Drosophila melanogaster: one gene and its partner. The protein of the gene in region 2 interacts with the protein of the main gene of each other region in a pairwise test. Each region holds a gene or a part of one and is shown on either strand. Other genes may lie near its edges.

Evidence for each region. Proteins that work in one complex are often made in the same cells at the same time.
Region 1: the proteins of sit (region 2) and shv interact in a two-hybrid assay, tested with the Drosophila melanogaster proteins (one large-scale study listed by BioGRID).

What each region holds. Positions count from the first base shown.
Region 1 is NT_033779.5:449,558-456,996, forward strand, and holds shv (shriveled), read left to right. Parts: upstream 1-3,550; 5' UTR 3,551-3,704; coding exon 3,705-4,713; intron 4,714-4,772; coding exon 4,773-4,828; 3' UTR 4,829-5,097; downstream 5,098-7,439. Other genes in the region: crq (croquemort), read right to left, coding at 1-983, 1,109-1,237; CG4133 (uncharacterized protein), read left to right, coding at 6,244-6,270, 6,529-6,666, 6,732-6,911, 6,982-7,172, 7,240-7,439. UniProt on the Drosophila melanogaster protein: Maintains stem cell niche architecture in the testes.
Region 2 is NT_033777.3:22,555,670-22,565,339, reverse strand, and holds sit (stuck in traffic), read left to right. Parts: upstream 1-2,767; 5' UTR 2,768-2,815; intron 2,816-4,910; 5' UTR 4,911-5,030; coding exon 5,031-5,091; intron 5,092-5,164; coding exon 5,165-5,730; intron 5,731-6,071; coding exon 6,072-6,332; 3' UTR 6,333-6,998; downstream 6,999-9,670. Other genes in the region: james bond, read right to left, coding at 9,217-9,670.

The sequences.
Region 1 (7,439 bases), on a different chromosome or scaffold from region 2:
CCACTGACAGCATCAACATACGACTGATCCGCTAGGTAAAAGTGAGGGAAGGAGGAGTAAATGGGTGCTTTGTCTCGGCACGCCTTGCACTCCACGACACCGGTCTTGGGACATTCATCAAATCGCGCCTCATCACAGAAGCACGCCTGGTTAGGGTAGTTTTCTCCGGAGTCCAGAGTCTCCTCGGTGCCTACCCACTTAGTGGCGGTCAGGCCGTGATTCTCGTATGTGCCCCGGGGCCGGAGGTTCATAAATCTGCAAGCATCGGTGGCAAAAATCGTAATCTCATCGTTTACATTCATCTTTGGCGGGAACATGTCGCCCGTGGTTCCATTAACAATGCCACAAGGCATCTCGTAAAATCCAGTTTCTGATTTTCCATTCCAGTGGGTAAGTCTACCCAGATTAGATATATCGTCAGTGCCCGTGTGAATAGTAAACAAGCCATCGTAAGTCAGCGACTCATTGCGGTCCGCCAGCCACCCGAAGCGTTTGTAGGGTATGTCGATCTTTGTGGTGTTGAACAGGTTTAGGAAATCGGTAATGTTATCCTGGTAACCCTCGAAGATCCATTCGCCCACCGGCTTGGTTACGTACAACTTTCCGCCTTCATGGTTCAGCATAAAGTTTATGATTTTTTTGACGATCTTGCGCTGGTCTCGCATCTCATCCGCTACCGTGGCGGTAATGGCATGGGCAGCAGTCACCATGTCGTCCAATGTGCCATTGGATCTCTCCGGATCAAAGAACCATGTGCGGCGCTCATAATATGCCACCGTTGCATTATCGTAAAACGTATAGTTCTCCTTCTTGTGCTTTTCCAGGAAGGTGTACGGACCCATTTCCACGAAGTTTGGCTTAATGTCCGGGTTCCTTATGTCCTCGGGATTCGTCCAATTGAACATGTAAAAGCTCAGGTAAATGGGGATAGGTGCCTCCAGCCAGCTTTCATAGGCATCAGTCCCGGGCTTGAGGGTAAGGCCCTGGGTAAAGATTAAGTTCATTTTAGTATGTCGAAATGAAAATCTTTTTTTTTTTTAGTTATCGTTCGGTAAACATATTTCCCTGAACCTGTAATACGCAATCTCGGACGGCTAAATATACTTACATCCTCTACAAGGTTATCTGCAATACCCGGCCAGAAGACCACGATTAGTATTCCCAGCAAAAGGAAAACCGATCCCAAGCCGAAGACCCAGACCTTTCGTTGAGTTTCCCCGCAGCACTTGCAGCACATGGTGGATACGTAGGATTCCAAAGGTTCACGCTTTTAAGGAATAGCCAAGGTGGGAATAATCCAGCCCTAGGCAGTTAGTTGCATCTGGAAGTGAAGACAGTTTGTGGGGTTATTTTTCCTTGTATAATCAATGTCCATAATCCGTATCGAATTTTTATTAGTTTATTTCCCGGTACACCCATCCTGGCACCCTGCAGAGTTGGTAATTTTGAAAATAATAAGACCAAGGCTTATCGCCGGCTGGTCCCTGCTTAAGTATTCGATAAGCATCGGCGATTATAAGTGTATATTTTTGAATATATTTTGCAGTCCATGACAGTTGGAGAAGATTACGTGGGACAGCCCACTTATCCGCACAGTCAACTTCAAGTGCAGACATCCGCAGATCTATTCAGTTTTCTAGCACTTGCCACTGTTTAGGTCGCCTAAACTTACTAGTTTTCAATCAAAGGGGATCGAAAATATTCCGGCCTTAGCACAATCGGAACTATCAAAACCGTACGCGTCCCCTGGCAGGGCGAAACTGGTGGCCAGCGGTCTACTGTGTGTCTTTTAATGGGTTCACTTGACGTTCAATTACCACTCGGTTCGTTTATTAATCTCTGGACTTTGCTAGTCGGGAATATTTGCTTGATTGGCATTAACTTGGATGCGTTTGGAGAAACACAAAAAAGAGATCACTCTACTCGAATTCCTCGACTTTCAGTTACTCGTAACTCAGGTAGCTGGCTGCCACAAAATTTTAATATTTTGGTATTCAGAGTGGGTATGTTGCAAATATTTGTAGCATAGCGATAGAAATGAAAATCTTATCTTTCTAACATTTATAGTTCGCGAGATCAAAGCGTTCATGCGAAGGCGGATGGCTAGATCGACTCGGGTGGTTATTCTGATCGAGTGAGTAGGTTTTATGGCAGATTGATTTACAATAGTTAAAATTCCTTTTAATATTATAAACATTTATAATTATGGTAATTTCATGCCTAGATGTTATTTATGTCCATGCTTGTCTGCAATTCAAATTCATTCAAGTCTAAGATAGTGTTTAGTATCGTTATCTGGGTAATACCCGCATTTCTCGGCTATTTGCTTCTGTGGTTGGTTGGTCAAGATGTTCTCACAAGGGGTTCCTATTTATGGCACTGATAAGATTAGCTTTGTGGAGATACTGATAATTCGGTCGAAATATGCTTTACTATACCATATCAGCCTTGATCCGTCCTGTAATCCAAAGTTCTTTTAATGCAATAGGAACGGGGCCTGTTTTTATCGTAAGTCTGGTGCATATCGTATTGCAATTTCGATTCCCTGCTTTGTTTCCTCCCGTCGACTGACTCAGTCTTGTTTTTGTCGGATTATTGGGCTGGCTCTATACTACAATGAATATTTCTTTGTTTAACGACTGATAACAGGCAAAAAAGGGGGTCTGGAACTACAGTAGAGCCTTTTGAGCTTGTACGAGTCCCAGTAGGATAACTCGAGAATTCATGTTAACTGTTTAAGGCGAATTAATATTAATAATAATTGATTAATATTAAATGGTTTTTAAAATAGTTTGTTGTAAACTGCATTGTGTATGCACTATATATGTTTACTGCATGTTGTCTCTCTTTTGAGGGCGATAGCTTGCATCCCGTGAAATGTTTGCTTTCTGGTTGAACTTAAACCTCGATCAACTTGCGCTTAAAGTGTTGACATCACCAGTTGCGAATTAGGCGTACAGTTATATTCACGTATTATTGCACATTACCGGCTGCATAATTAAAGTGATGAATTACTCACCTTTTATCTCACACACAACTACGTCTTTTAGCATTAGCTTCTGATGGCTCTGTTATTGTTTTGCTTTGGCCTTGACATTTATTATGCCATAGTTCGGAGTAAATTTATTTTTCTGGGACTTCCCGCTTCGATGATCGCTTAGTCCCTTTACCTTTGGTGCCTGGAATCGCAAAAGTACCGTACGAAAGGGATTCAAATTGTCAGACTTCCCTTCTTATTACTTTTACAGCTAAACTCAAGCGTGGGAAGCGCCTTTGGAATTGATCTGAAAGCTGCTATCCAACTAAAAAAAAGGCACTTTCGCGTTGCCGAAGAGGGCAAGCAGAGAAAGATAAACTGCAAACTTGCAGTTTGCTGGGCTAAATTGGATTAAACAATTTATTTCTTTATCTTCGCTGGGCGAGTGTGACCAGAAGCGTTTATATGCGCTGTAACAGCACTGTAAGCAACGTTGCCACAGTTTTTGGATTGACTGTAATGCGAAACAGCTGTTCTGTTAGAGAAGTGGTGACAACCCTAACGACAGTGCCAACCAATCAGCGCAGACCACGACTCACACACACAAACAAAGCTGCCAGCGGCGACAACTACAATTTTTTTACACTTTTGCCAGCATTTAAAATCGTATTTCGAATCAGCTGGTTAAAAAGAATGAATTGCTGAATCAAACAGGATCAAAAACGAAATGCAGCTTATCAAGTGCTTGGTTATAATTCAGCTGTCCCTCTTGCTGGTGGAGGAGTCATTTGCCGGCCGGGACTTCTACAAAATACTGAACGTAAAGAAAAACGCCAACACGAACGAAGTGAAGAAGGCGTATCGCCGTTTGGCCAAGGAGCTGCATCCGGATAAGAACAAGGACGACCCGGATGCCTCCACAAAGTTCCAGGACCTGGGAGCGGCCTACGAAGTCCTCTCCAATCCGGACAAACGGAAGACCTACGACCGCTGCGGCGAGGAATGCCTCAAGAAGGAGGGCATGATGGATCACGGTGGTGATCCGTTCTCTAGCTTCTTTGGGGACTTCGGCTTTCACTTCGGTGGTGATGGCCAGCAGCAAGATGCTCCGCGAGGCGCCGATATCGTAATGGACTTGTACGTTTCCCTGGAGGAGCTATACTCCGGAAACTTTGTGGAAATTGTGAGGAACAAGCCTGTAACGAAACCCGCCTCAGGCACCAGGAAATGCAACTGCCGCCAGGAGATGGTCACCCGGAACCTTGGACCCGGGCGCTTCCAGATGATCCAACAGACGGTGTGCGACGAGTGTCCCAACGTGAAGCTAGTCAACGAGGAGCGCACATTGGAGATCGAGGTGGAACAGGGCATGGTCGACGGCCAAGAGACGAGGTTCGTGGCCGAGGGGGAGCCACATATCGATGGGGAGCCCGGCGACCTCATTGTGCGGGTTCAACAAATGCCGCATCCGCGATTCCTGCGCAAGAATGATGATCTGTACACGAACGTGACCATCAGTCTGCAGGATGCCCTTGTCGGCTTCTCCATGGAGATCAAGCACCTTGATGGACACCTGGTGCCCGTCACGAGAGAGAAGGTAACGTGGCCCGGCGCTAGAATCCGCAAGAAGGGCGAGGGCATGCCCAACTTTGAGAACAACAACCTCACCGGCAACCTGTACATCACCTTCGATGTGGAGTTCCCCAAGAAGGATCTTACGGAGGAGGACAAGGAAGGTTAGCATATACATTATCACAAGAGTAATTGTTTCATTAATAAACGTTTCTAATTCTAGCGCTCAAGAAAATACTCGACCAATCCTCCATCAATCGCATATACAATGGACTGTGAATACCCATGTTTCATCCCCAATAAAAGTGCTCGCCGGCTGTACTCTAGTTTTTAAATGCCTAACTAACAGGGCGACTTTGATTTGGGAACGCCCCTAATTCAAGAGATGACTTTGTTCAAAAAAGTTGTGCGAAAACAATTTAATTTTAGTTTAGAATTTTGTAAAATAGCAAAAGTGTAATGAGAGGGAACTATTAAGGCGGTTCCTGCCGACAAAAAGGAATTGCAACAAAAACCAACCCCCACAAAATAAAGCGGATTTAAATTATATACAACTTTGCGGAAGCTACTATTTTTGATTTACTGTTTTTAAAAGGGATTTTTTGATTGTCTCAGAAATAATTTAATTTGAAAACTATTATATTAAGACAATCGATAGGCTGCATTATTGCAACCTTGGCTCAGCTGTCGATAACTGGCGCAGGAATCCGCAAGAAGGGCGAGGGCATGCCCAACTTTGAGAACAACAACCTCACCGGCAACCTGTACATCACCTTCGATGTGGAGTTCCCCAAGAAGGATCTTACGGAGGAGGACAAGGAAGGTTAGCATATACATTATCACAAGAGTAATTGTTTCATTAATAAACGTTTCTAATTCTAGCGCTCAAGAAAATACTCGACCAATCCTCCATCAATCGCATATACAATGGACTGTGAATACCCATGTTTCATCCCCAATAAAAGTGCTCGCCGGCTGTACTCTAGTTTTTAAATGCCTAACTAACAGGGCGACTTTGATTTGGGAACGCCCCTAATTCAAGAGATGACTTTGTTCAAAAAAGTTGTGCGAAAACAATTTAATTTTAGTTTAGAATTTTGTAAAATAGCAAAAGTGTAATGAGAGGGAACTATTAAGGCGGTTCCTGCCGACAAAAAGGAATTGCAACAAAAACCAACCCCCACAAAATAAAGCGGATTTAAATTATATACAACTTTGCGGAAGCTACTATTTTTGATTTACTGTTTTTAAAAGGGATTTTTTGATTGTCTCAGAAATAATTTAATTTGAAAACTATTATATTAAGACAATCGATAGGCTGCATTATTGCAACCTTGGCTCAGCTGTCGATAACTGGCGCAGGACAACGTTCTAACGGGAGTAAAACCGAGAGCGAACAATCGGGAGAGCGTTACAGGAAGTAGCGAATTCACATTAGAGAGCGAAGAAATTTGTACCAGTGCGGACGTGGACAAGCTCGATCCAGCTTTATTATTTATTTTATCAGAAAGCAGAACCCACAACCGAAAAAACCAGTCATTGGCAAGGCTAAAAGATATTATTGCCTACCATCCTTTACTTCATACCTCGCATTGGAAAGTGAAGTTGAGTTGGAAAAGGAGAACTAGAAAAAGGATTTCTAGACCGAAAAAACAAGACACCAACAGCACAACGACCATAAATACATAGTATGAATGTCGCCTAAATATCATAATTTCGAGGTGAGTCGCGAGCAACTCCTCCGAGCAGTCTTTTCAGTTCCCGTCCCACGGATTTCGTGTTCCGCGAAGACGCAACTGCCCACCCCTTTCATTCAGTTTTTTCGCTATCGATTTTCTGCGAGGGTCTCCCTTCAACTTTAAGTGACCCAAAAAAGAAAGGGAGGGTGGTTTTAGGTCAGCCGGCAAAGTTGCGTGCTGGGCTACGTTGTATGTTCTGGTTTCATGCCAAATCTAGAGACCCAATTAAAACACTTTCAGATTGCACTGGTCTACTTTCTGCTGCTAATACCATGGCCACCCACGAATGTGATCAGAATCCTCTGCTCGCGAGATAACAGCCGACTGGTGCGCAAAATAGTGCGCTCCAAATGGACTCCCATTCTGGACAAGCATCAGGTAAGTCCACTACATCGGAGTTCCCTCGATTCAAACCTGCCTTACCGAGACAAATCAACTTAAAGGTGAAGCTGCCGCTGGAGTGCCCGCTCCATCCGTTCCGGGATGTCTTTGCCCCCCGCCAGGATGCCAAGCAGAGGGATCGACCTACTCAGTGGACGTGCAGGAAATGTGGCAAGAGCTTCTACCAGGAGAAGCATCTGGACTTACATTTCGACACACGCCACAAGAGCATCATCAATGAGGTAAAAAACTATTTAGAGAGAGGTTTAGTTCTAGTGTACTGATATCTCCAATTCCACTTGAATTCTTCAGGCGGAGGATGCCGTTTGCCTGGCCGACTTCTGCGACATTATGCGGTGTGAGGTATTTGAAACGGAGGACGCATCTAGCCTGAAGTTTGGTGACCAGCACATTGTCACGGACATCGAGGTCTGGGGCGACTCCCTGGGCCAGAACTCCGCGTTGGCCAAAGCGAATGCTGCCTACTTGAGCTTAATACCTAGGTGTGTTCGTTCGGCTTTGTTGCTCTTGTATTTGCCATCAGTCATATGACGCCTCAATCCTTTCTAGAACTTCCACATTGGGTGCCTCGCGTGCCGCCAAAGTACAAAATCGTCAATTACTTCAAGACAAGCCAAGCCAGGCCAGCAAGCAGAATCAGTCACCGGCAGGTGAGCGAACACATCCCCAATCCCACCACCATCCCCGAGATCGTGCATCCACCACAGCCAATCCCCTTCGCCTAGATCCATCGCCGGAGGACGGGTCGG
Region 2 (9,670 bases):
GCAGGCTACAAAATTGCCAACATTTTGTTGATAAATAAAAGCATAAAGTAAACTTTTATATTTGACAATAATGATCATTTAAAATTATTCAAGATTATTGATCTACTATATCTTTTGTCTGTCGTGTGATTTTTGTGGGAATCCCTGAGCAATCAATTCATCATCGGTTATAACCTACCACATTTAATAATGGTATTATGATCATTAAAAACTAATAAAAAATGTTTGTAATAATTATTGTATTTTGTTTTAAAAATTTGCATGGCTTTTTTCTTCACAGTCTACAGCTGTGTATAAAATAATATTTGTATAAAAATTTAATTCAAAGAGTTTTAGCCAAGTTTTAGTCTTAACTTTTGTAGATTTAAACCAATATTTTTCAGTCATGCTTGCAACACATCGAAATTGTTAAGCTTTTTAAGCTTGGCTTTGCAAACTTGAACACCAGATGGCGCCAGCAGCGTGTGAAAAAGCCAAGCTCGGAAATTGAAGTCGGCGGACCGCAAAAAACTTTAATGCGGCCAATTAAACATTTAAGAGCCTCATTTGCAATTGCTGTTAACAATCTTACGACTACAAGTTGCTGTAGGCAGGAAAATAAAGTTCGTTTTATTGGAGTAACTTTGCTGAAATTGTTTGATCATCGGAAATCAATGATTCAACTGTTTGACGCCCTTGAAAGCAGAAAAATCACCAGTTATCATAATTACTTTATAATGTTTTGTCCCATCGCCAATTGAGGGTTCTACAAGCCAAAGACATTTTGCACATTTGATTATTACCCTTGCGACTCAATTTTGTCTACGCAATTTGCCGCGAATATACAAACAAATTCAATAATAATTGTTTAACGGTTTGTTCGCCAGTTTGACTGTTGGCTAAATGTAAATGTTTGCGGAAGATATTTGCATAACTGGCAGCAACCCCTCAGATACATTTATATATACATACATACATACATACATATATATCGAACTCGATCGCATGAATCGTCTGCAGCGACAGCGATAATAAACTAACGTCTTTTGCATACGATTATGATCCGCTTGATGGCTGGTGGCCAAACAAAAGACGAATGCAAATGAAATCCGAAACACCGGAAGAATTTGTCACTGGCTGAGGCGCACACGGCGTATGATTGATTCCTGGCCAACGAAGGGATTCACCCGATCAACCATACGCCCGGTCGACATTCACCCACATCTTATGCAGTCCACTCGGATTCGAACTCGAACTGGTTGGCATAAGCTAATCGGCAAGTTCAAGTTCAATTCGCCGGTGACACAGTTAACATTTCGGTGACCCCAGCCTCAGCCTCTGTTTTTTTTTTTCTCAGACATCGAAGTTCGAAGTCTTGGCCAAAATAGTTGCTATCGGTTTGGTTTCATTAACTTGACCCGGAAGTGGGCCTTAATCGATGCGCTGCGATCATTGTGGGTCGTTAGAATCCGATTCCGAATCTGATTCCGAGCCCTGGGCCCAAAGAATTTGTATGTAAATTGCCAGGTAAATGCGCCGTTTCCTTGAATAAACTTTACAAACACTTTTAACGAAATACTTCTGGCTGTAAACCTTTCCGCTTTATGCCGATAATAGCAATGTTTTAGGCTTGTTTTAAATAGTTTTCAAATTGCTTGTAAAACAGTCTAGGGAATTTCGCTGATTCGCCAAAAAAAAAGGTCAACGAAATTATAAACCACCTACGCAGTTTCAGTTCAGTTCAGTTGGGTTAGGTTCTAAAGTTCATACTGGAGTTAAAGCGTGAATAAGTATTTCAAGTGGGTCAAGGTTACGAAAGCGAATTTGGATGAAGATATAAAAAAAGGGAGAATTACCAGAAACCGAAAACAAAATAGAATGAACATTTCATTCTGAGGCGATTTGAGACTATTTCTAGGGTTTGTTGTCATATTCTGGCTAATGATGAAAGAGCCTAAGGGAATGGATAAATAATACTCTATAATGACTGAATGTTGTTTAAAAAGCTATTAATTGAGAGAAAATGAAAGTATCATTAGGGTACACATACGTATATGTAGAATATATTCTCATTTGATAGAATGTTAGTTTCTGTTTGTTATTAGCAAACTAATCAGAGTTGTCCGCTGGGATTGGCTGTGTTTTCTAAAATAAAAACATTTTACTTTGCAAATGTTTAAATGAATTTTCTGTTTATTAGGTCTTGTTATTCAAATTTCTGGAAGCACGCTCAATGCCATAAATTCGCTATCCTCTAAGTTCTACCGCAATCGCTTTGACCAAATCGATCAAAAGTGACAACTATTCAAGAATATTTTATGATTCTTTTAATTGTACAAAAGGCTGCACAACCAAATACAAAACGAATTAAAAGCCAGACGATTTTGGCCAACAACAGCAACAAAAAGCCGGCAACACGCACACACAACACCAACATTGTTATCGCAATTATCATAGAAAAACGAGACCATACGAGACCATTCGATACATTTTGTGTATGTAGCATATAGCATATAGCGTTTGGAATCCACGAGGCACAAAAGAACATCTTAAAGCTAAAGCTAAAGTCAAAGATGAGGATGAGCAAGATGCCAAATAGCCGAGACAAAAGTTCGGCTAAACAAAAACTAAAGCTGAATCTAAACGCCGAACTGAAGATGAACTGAATACAGATACAGAAACAGATACAGATACAAAAACAAATCGGAAGGCAGAGACGAAGAAACAGCAGTGCCAAATCGAACCTTTAGTCGAAATTTTTATACATAGCGCCGTACAACTCGGCGGAGCAGTTCAGTGCGCGTACAAGTCTCGTGGGTAGCGGATGCCAGCAAAGGTATCTCCCCACTATACAATAATATACCATACTAAACTATACTATACCACACCACACCACATAGTGCCTCATATCAGCCTCATTTGAGCAAGACTAAAGATGGAACAAGACTAAAAAACAGTTGTCACGGTGCTAACATTAAGTTGTCGTCGCTCAAAATTAAGTGCACGGCAATCGAAGAGATTGCAACAGGTGCCCAACAAACCGCTTCATCTGTGTGTGCCAGTGTGTGTGTGTAGATATATCTGAGTGATCAATCAGATCAATCGTTGGAGGCGAGCAGTTATAGAATTCGTGGCTTAGACTGGATTGATACGCTGGTAGAGGTCCCTGAAAGTGAAGTTCTGTAGCTATTCAATCGACAGATCAGCTGACAAGGAAAGGTTTATAAAGTTTGTGCATTTCAATAGTTAGGGTACATATCCTTAAAAATCAACAAAGTATTTCAACACTTAAAAGGCTAGTAAAGATGAGCAAGGATACGCTTGTGTTTACATCTTTCTAAAATTTGCTTAGAAGCACAAGTAGATGATACTTCATATTTTGTATCTTTCACTTCCATGCCTAATATTTAGCTTAGATCAGCAAACTTTTTTTTTTTGCATAGAACAAGTGCCATATGAGGAGTTTAGCGATCTCCACCTGTCAAGGTCATTAAACCAATGCGACACATATTTGATTTTGGCAAAAACAAAACCGCCGTCGTCCAAATTGGGCAATAGGTGACACAATTTTCTATTTGCTCGCTCTAGGTGCTTCCAAGGTTTCCCACATCTCCGGACATTTACCAAATGACTAACCAAGTGGAAATACCCTCAAATTGGCTGGCGATGATCAGCCAGACACGACGGCGTCCAAATGATGCGACATCTTATGGCTTAGATCATAATTCCCACCCATTCCCGAACACACACAAAATAAAAAAGAGCAAGAAACGCATGGCAAGGTCGTAATTCCAACTGAAAATTGATAAACTGGATTTTCTTGGCCAGTATTTTGTGCGGCCAACAAAAGTGTTTAGCACCTTTTGGCTTATGACTGCCATTTGTCGCCTTCCCCCTCAAGATTTTCTGGCCCCATTCTGCGCTAACTGTTGCAGGTAATATTCAAACGGAGCCATAACACCTGAAGTGCAGGAAATGACCGGAGAGCTGAAGCCAAACCTGTTGATGGCTGCTGATAGCCGACTGGAGTGTTGGCCAAGTTGCCCTTCAAAATATCTCCTCAGTCGTTTTTTTTTTTATTTCAATTTGTTCCTCACTTCGCAGACCAAGAAGCCGATCAGAATAGCCTCGAAAACGACGCAAGAAATCATAATGCTATTCGATTATTTTGTGGTCTTAATCGGCCTTAGCCAAGTTCAAGTGTGAGTCGACTTCAAGTCAACGAACGTGAATGCTTGGAATTTAGCATGGGTGCTTGATAGCTCGATGGTTCTCAAATGCCCCCTTTGGAGGAGCAAGTTCTTGGCGATGATTAATCACCGGGAGTACCACTTCACTCTGTCCCACTTTGGACTAAACGACTTCTGTAGAAGATCCCCGAGATCCGTAAGAGAGTGGCAAGCAACAGCTCAAAACCAAACAAACTGCACAACACAAATATAATTTAGCTGGGTGTGCGAGTGGGTTTTATGCGTTCCACACGTGAGGCACTGAGGCACTGCCCAATTTACTTGGGTCTTGTATCTCGGGTCGTGAGGCAACCAACCAACCATGGTATGGGCCATATGGAGTTGAAGTTTTGAGGTGGCCACCAATTTGTTGCGGGCTGTTGTGCGCTGCGGTTGTTTAATTCATAATAATGAATATAATTTACTGTTACTGTTACATGATAATTTCACGGCATTTCACCGTCACCGTCACACATTTGCTATTTGCTATTCTCCTTCGCCTTCGTTTGATTATTATTTTAATTTTATTTAGATTTCTGGGCTCGGCAACAGCAACAGCAAAAGCAATGGCAAAAGCTGTAGCTGAAGCTATAGCTTTGGCATTAGTTGCTCGAGAATCGCATTAACATAACTTAACTACGAAAACTCGAAAAGATCTTTCCCTCATCCAGACTCCCTTCCGATCTTCCCAATTCCATTTAGATTTCGCAAAACTCGTTCGTTGCGACGCAGGCTAAGCAGATTTTTGAATTTCACATCGAAACGATCGTCGCTATATAATCGTATTTGTGGGAGCAAGAGTCCAACGAGGAGAATTTAAAAATGGCAGCCGTCAACGCAACACAGGTGGACTATTGGAATTTTCTGTTCACCGATCTGGCAGGTGAGTTGGATGGGGAGGGGAACTACCTGTGCCGCATATAGATGCTGATCAAATCCCTGATATTCCCACGCAGATCCCCGCACCAATGACTGGTTCCTGATCAAGTCGCCACTGCCCCTGCTGGGCATCCTGGCCTTCTATCTCTTCTTCGTGCTGTCCTGGGGACCCAAGTTCATGAAGGATCGCAAACCCTTCAAGCTGGAACGCACCCTGCTCGTCTACAATTTCTTCCAGGTAGCCCTCAGTGTTTGGATGGTCTACGAGGGCGTGGTCATCTGGCAGTACTACAGCTGGCGGTGCCAGCCGGTTGATTGGTCCCGCACACCCAAGGCGTATCGTGAGGCGCGCGTCGTCTATGTCTACTATCTGGCCAAGATTACCGAGCTGCTGGACACCATTTTCTTTGTGCTGCGCAAGAATGACCGACAGGTGACCTTCCTGCATGTCTACCATCACACGGTGATGCCCATGATCAGCTGGGGCACCAGCAAGTACTATCCCGGCGGACATGGCACCTTCATTGGCTGGATCAACTCCTTCGTGCACATTATCATGTACTCCTACTACTTCCTCTCCGCCTTCGGACCCCAGATGCAGAAGTATCTGTGGTGGAAGAAGTACATCACCAACCTGCAGATGGTAAGAACGCTTTATACGCTATCCATAGATATCTGTAGTATTTCAATTTGAGGGGTTATAAGAGGTTTATTACTTGCTTTGCTAATGACTTCATCTTAGAACTAAATAGGAAAGCACTTAAGTGGAAAATATTCAAATGTATTCTTTGATTTTAGGGCTGCACTTAAAAGTGATATATAGTTTTATTTTGTTGTGAGATACTAGAGCTCTACAACCATTTCATTTTAAAATTATCTAGATTAGTATAAGTACAAAACAGATAGATTCAGAAATAGATAGCACCTCATTCTTCCTTATCGATAGCTCTTAATGGTCTCCCGATTTTACGATTATTCTTACAGATCCAGTTCTGCTGCGCCTTCATCCACCAGACGCAGCTGTTGTACACGGATTGTGGGTATCCCAGGTGGTCGGTGTGCTTTACCCTGCCCAACGCGGTGTTCTTCTACTTCCTGTTCAACGACTTCTACCAGAAGTCCTACAAGAAGAAGCAGGCTGCTGCCAAGGAGAAGGCTCTGTCGGCGGATAACAATAATGATGGATGTGCCAAGGACCTCAACAAGGCAATTCAGCTGCAGCAGGAGAAGCAGAAGGCCTTGTAAGAGGGAGGAGCACAAACACCCACCGCCACCCACCCACACACACCACCCTCAACACACAAAACCCCTTCAATACTCGTACAAAAGGGCGGGTAGAAACACCCACTGAGAGCCACCCATGTTCTATGTGCAACCTTGTTGACTAATTTCTTAAGTAATCCGCCGCCAAATAGACGTGAAGCACGAAAAAAAAAAGAAAATCAGAAACGAGACGAATAGATATTTGAGCAAATGAGGTTTTCGAGACACAGATACACATATTATGTAAATGTAAATGTAAATGTTCAAACAGTTGAAATTGCTTTTTGCCGCCATCGTCATCATCATCGCTCGCTCCGTTTGAAGTTCGCCATCGTGTCGGGCGGACCCAAATGAAAGAAGTCGTATGTCTTTCGGCCAAAACTGAAACTGAACTAAGTTAAGTAAACAGGCAGAAGAAGCGTTAGTTGTGTAAATAAGTGTAGGTACGCATGCGAATGTGTTTTCTTTAGATTTTATATACGTGTGGTATGTAAAGTAGGCATTAAACAAGTGAAAAACTAGCTAATAACGAAACCATAAATACAAACACAATTTACAAATAAATCTAGAATTTTTTCTACAAAAATATCGTAAAAAAACAATGAGCCTTATTCTTTATCTTATGAATGGGAAATTAACGGAAGTGAGAACTGACACTCCTAGTGTCAATATACTGAAAAAGATCTCAACTTTGCTTTTATGGGAATTTTTCATATAAATCTGTTTTTATGTATCGTATATTTGTCAAAAAAGTCTGACATTTTTAATTAATAGATCACTTTATCAGGATCATGTACCCCATACTATTTCTTTATAGTTTGAATGATCTTGTTTTCAATACATTTAAAAGTTTTTTCCTTTTGACGCAATAATATATTATACTTTTAAATGAATTACTTTTCATTTAAAGAAATAATGAATTAATGCAATTGGCCTTGAAAACATTGCATATTCAAGCATTTCCTGTAATCATTTGTGTTCATTCAACTTGTATTTATGGTTTCAAGCCACTTTAATGGTATATTTGTCTTTTCGACAACATTGGGGTATCTCCCAAAGAGCAATCACACCCATTTGCATCCCAATCTAGCCATTCATGATCTCAGTAAGCCTCAGATAAATCGCACGAGGTAACCTTTGCTCAAGGAACCAACTCAAATCGATTGACCAGCTGATATATGTATGTATAACCAAGAACCTATTCATTCAGCAGCGGAAGCCAAAATGATTTAAATTTGAATGGGCGTGGCTAGTACAACTGGTCTATGGGGTGATGATCTGGACACGATCGGTTCATGAATTTTTACGAGACTCTGGAAAGACGACCACTTGGCCACTCATTAGAGCTCATTTCGCAGGCACCTTGAACGGCGGCGACGGAGGAGATAAGATTTTGATAAATTCCGCAGCCTTTTATTGATCAATCAGTCAAGACGGAACGCAACTGAAGCGGAAGTGAAAACGCATCTTCGAGTGGGGTTGCGGCCATCCGATGTGCGGATACAGTATTCAATAAAGCCGGTTTGGACACTTGGCCTTGATCTTGACCACAAACATGAGAAAACAAAGCGCAGCTCTCAGCCAAAAATTTCGGTTTTTATCTGGCCCCAACCGGAGCTAAGCTAATGCCAATATTATACCAGTTTTATGGTCTGATCAGCATAGATTCTATCAGACTTTCGATTGAAGATGAAGATCTCCGGCGTTATTTATATATTTACCAAGAAACTGGAAAAAATTTCCATAATCACAATTCAAGGCATACTTTCAGGCCGTTCTTAGTTTTAAAACCAACATAGAGTTTGACCTATGCAAATGTCGCAAAAACGAGGCTCATTTAAAATAACACGCCTACCCATAGATACAAATCAAACTCTTTTCCAGGCCCTTGAACTTTGACTCGAATGTGTACAAAACAACAAGAGTTTTATACTCGAAATCTGCATAAATAAAGGTGCTTCATGTGATGCTGGAGGCATGTGTGTGAGTCAAGGCGAGTTAAGAAAAAATTGATTAGAAATTCTAATTTGGCAAAGACATTCTCCAATCGTCGCCAGGGTGTCTAAGCCTGGCCAACAAAATGGACGGGGCACACACAATGTTGGATAATCATCGCAGCACGCGTACTAGGTTCTACACTCATAAAAATATGGTTTATTTAAAGAATCGTTTTTTAGGGATGCAAAAATTTGTGCTTTTGTTTTATGATATTTCTAATCTGTTCTCTGATTAGACAGTTGGCACAAAAAGAGGTAGTATATCTTCACTCAATCGACAGATATTAATCACGTTTAATGGTTTGCAGATCTGCATAATTTTTCTTTGCGTGTGGATGGAGCGCGTGGCCATGCCGTTGTCATAAATAATAGGATCCAATGGGATCCGGTTTGATTACCTAACCCAAGAGCTTCGCGCAGAAATAGAAGTCCAAAAACCCCCAAAACCCAAAACCTGAACCCGAATTTCACCGGCAAAGAACAGACACAGACTTTTTTGGTTTTATTAAATATACAAAATTAAAGTTTTATTGAATTTTTCTTGTTTTGCGAAACGATTTACGGCTGCATTTCATTAATAAGCTCTATCACACTAGCTCTCATACACGCTCAGCTAGAAAAACATTAACACATACTCAGTCACACAAACATGGCCACATTCACGCACTTAGGGTCCTAGCTACTTTTTGGATTTGAATCATCATCCGCCTGCCCGGCATATAAACATTATACAAGTTATTCTCCGCAGACTACAGACTACTGATAGTTGGTAATGGTAAAGGTAAAGGTAAGAGTTACGAACTAAGCCCCGCTCTAAAAAACATAATTGCTAACTGAAATCCCAACGACACCATTTTCGGCATCGCCGATCATTCCAGCTTCATGGGCTTCACGCTGTTGTTGTTCAGATCGATGTACGCCTTTCCGACCTGGCCATTCTGGAGCAGATGCTTACCGGCGTTCATGGTCTGCGGCATGCAACCCATACCGCCGGCGGCACGCAGAGCGGATTGAGCCAAACTACTGCCGGTGGTGCGACTGCCTCCATCCACGGACTTGGCCTTCTTGTAGGTCTTGCGATAGAAATTGCCGAACAGGTAAAGGAAGATGACCGTGTTGCCCACGAAGAAGAAGGTCAGTGTCTTGGGCATGTTGCAGCCCTTGGCGCCCACGGTCAGCATGTAGCCCAGGATGAGGACGAACTGGATCAGCTGGATGCTGGTCATGTACTTCTTCCACCACAGGTACTTCTGGTACTGGGGTCCCATTGCGGCCACCATGTAGTAGAAGTACATGATAATGTGCACGCCCGAGTTGAGAATG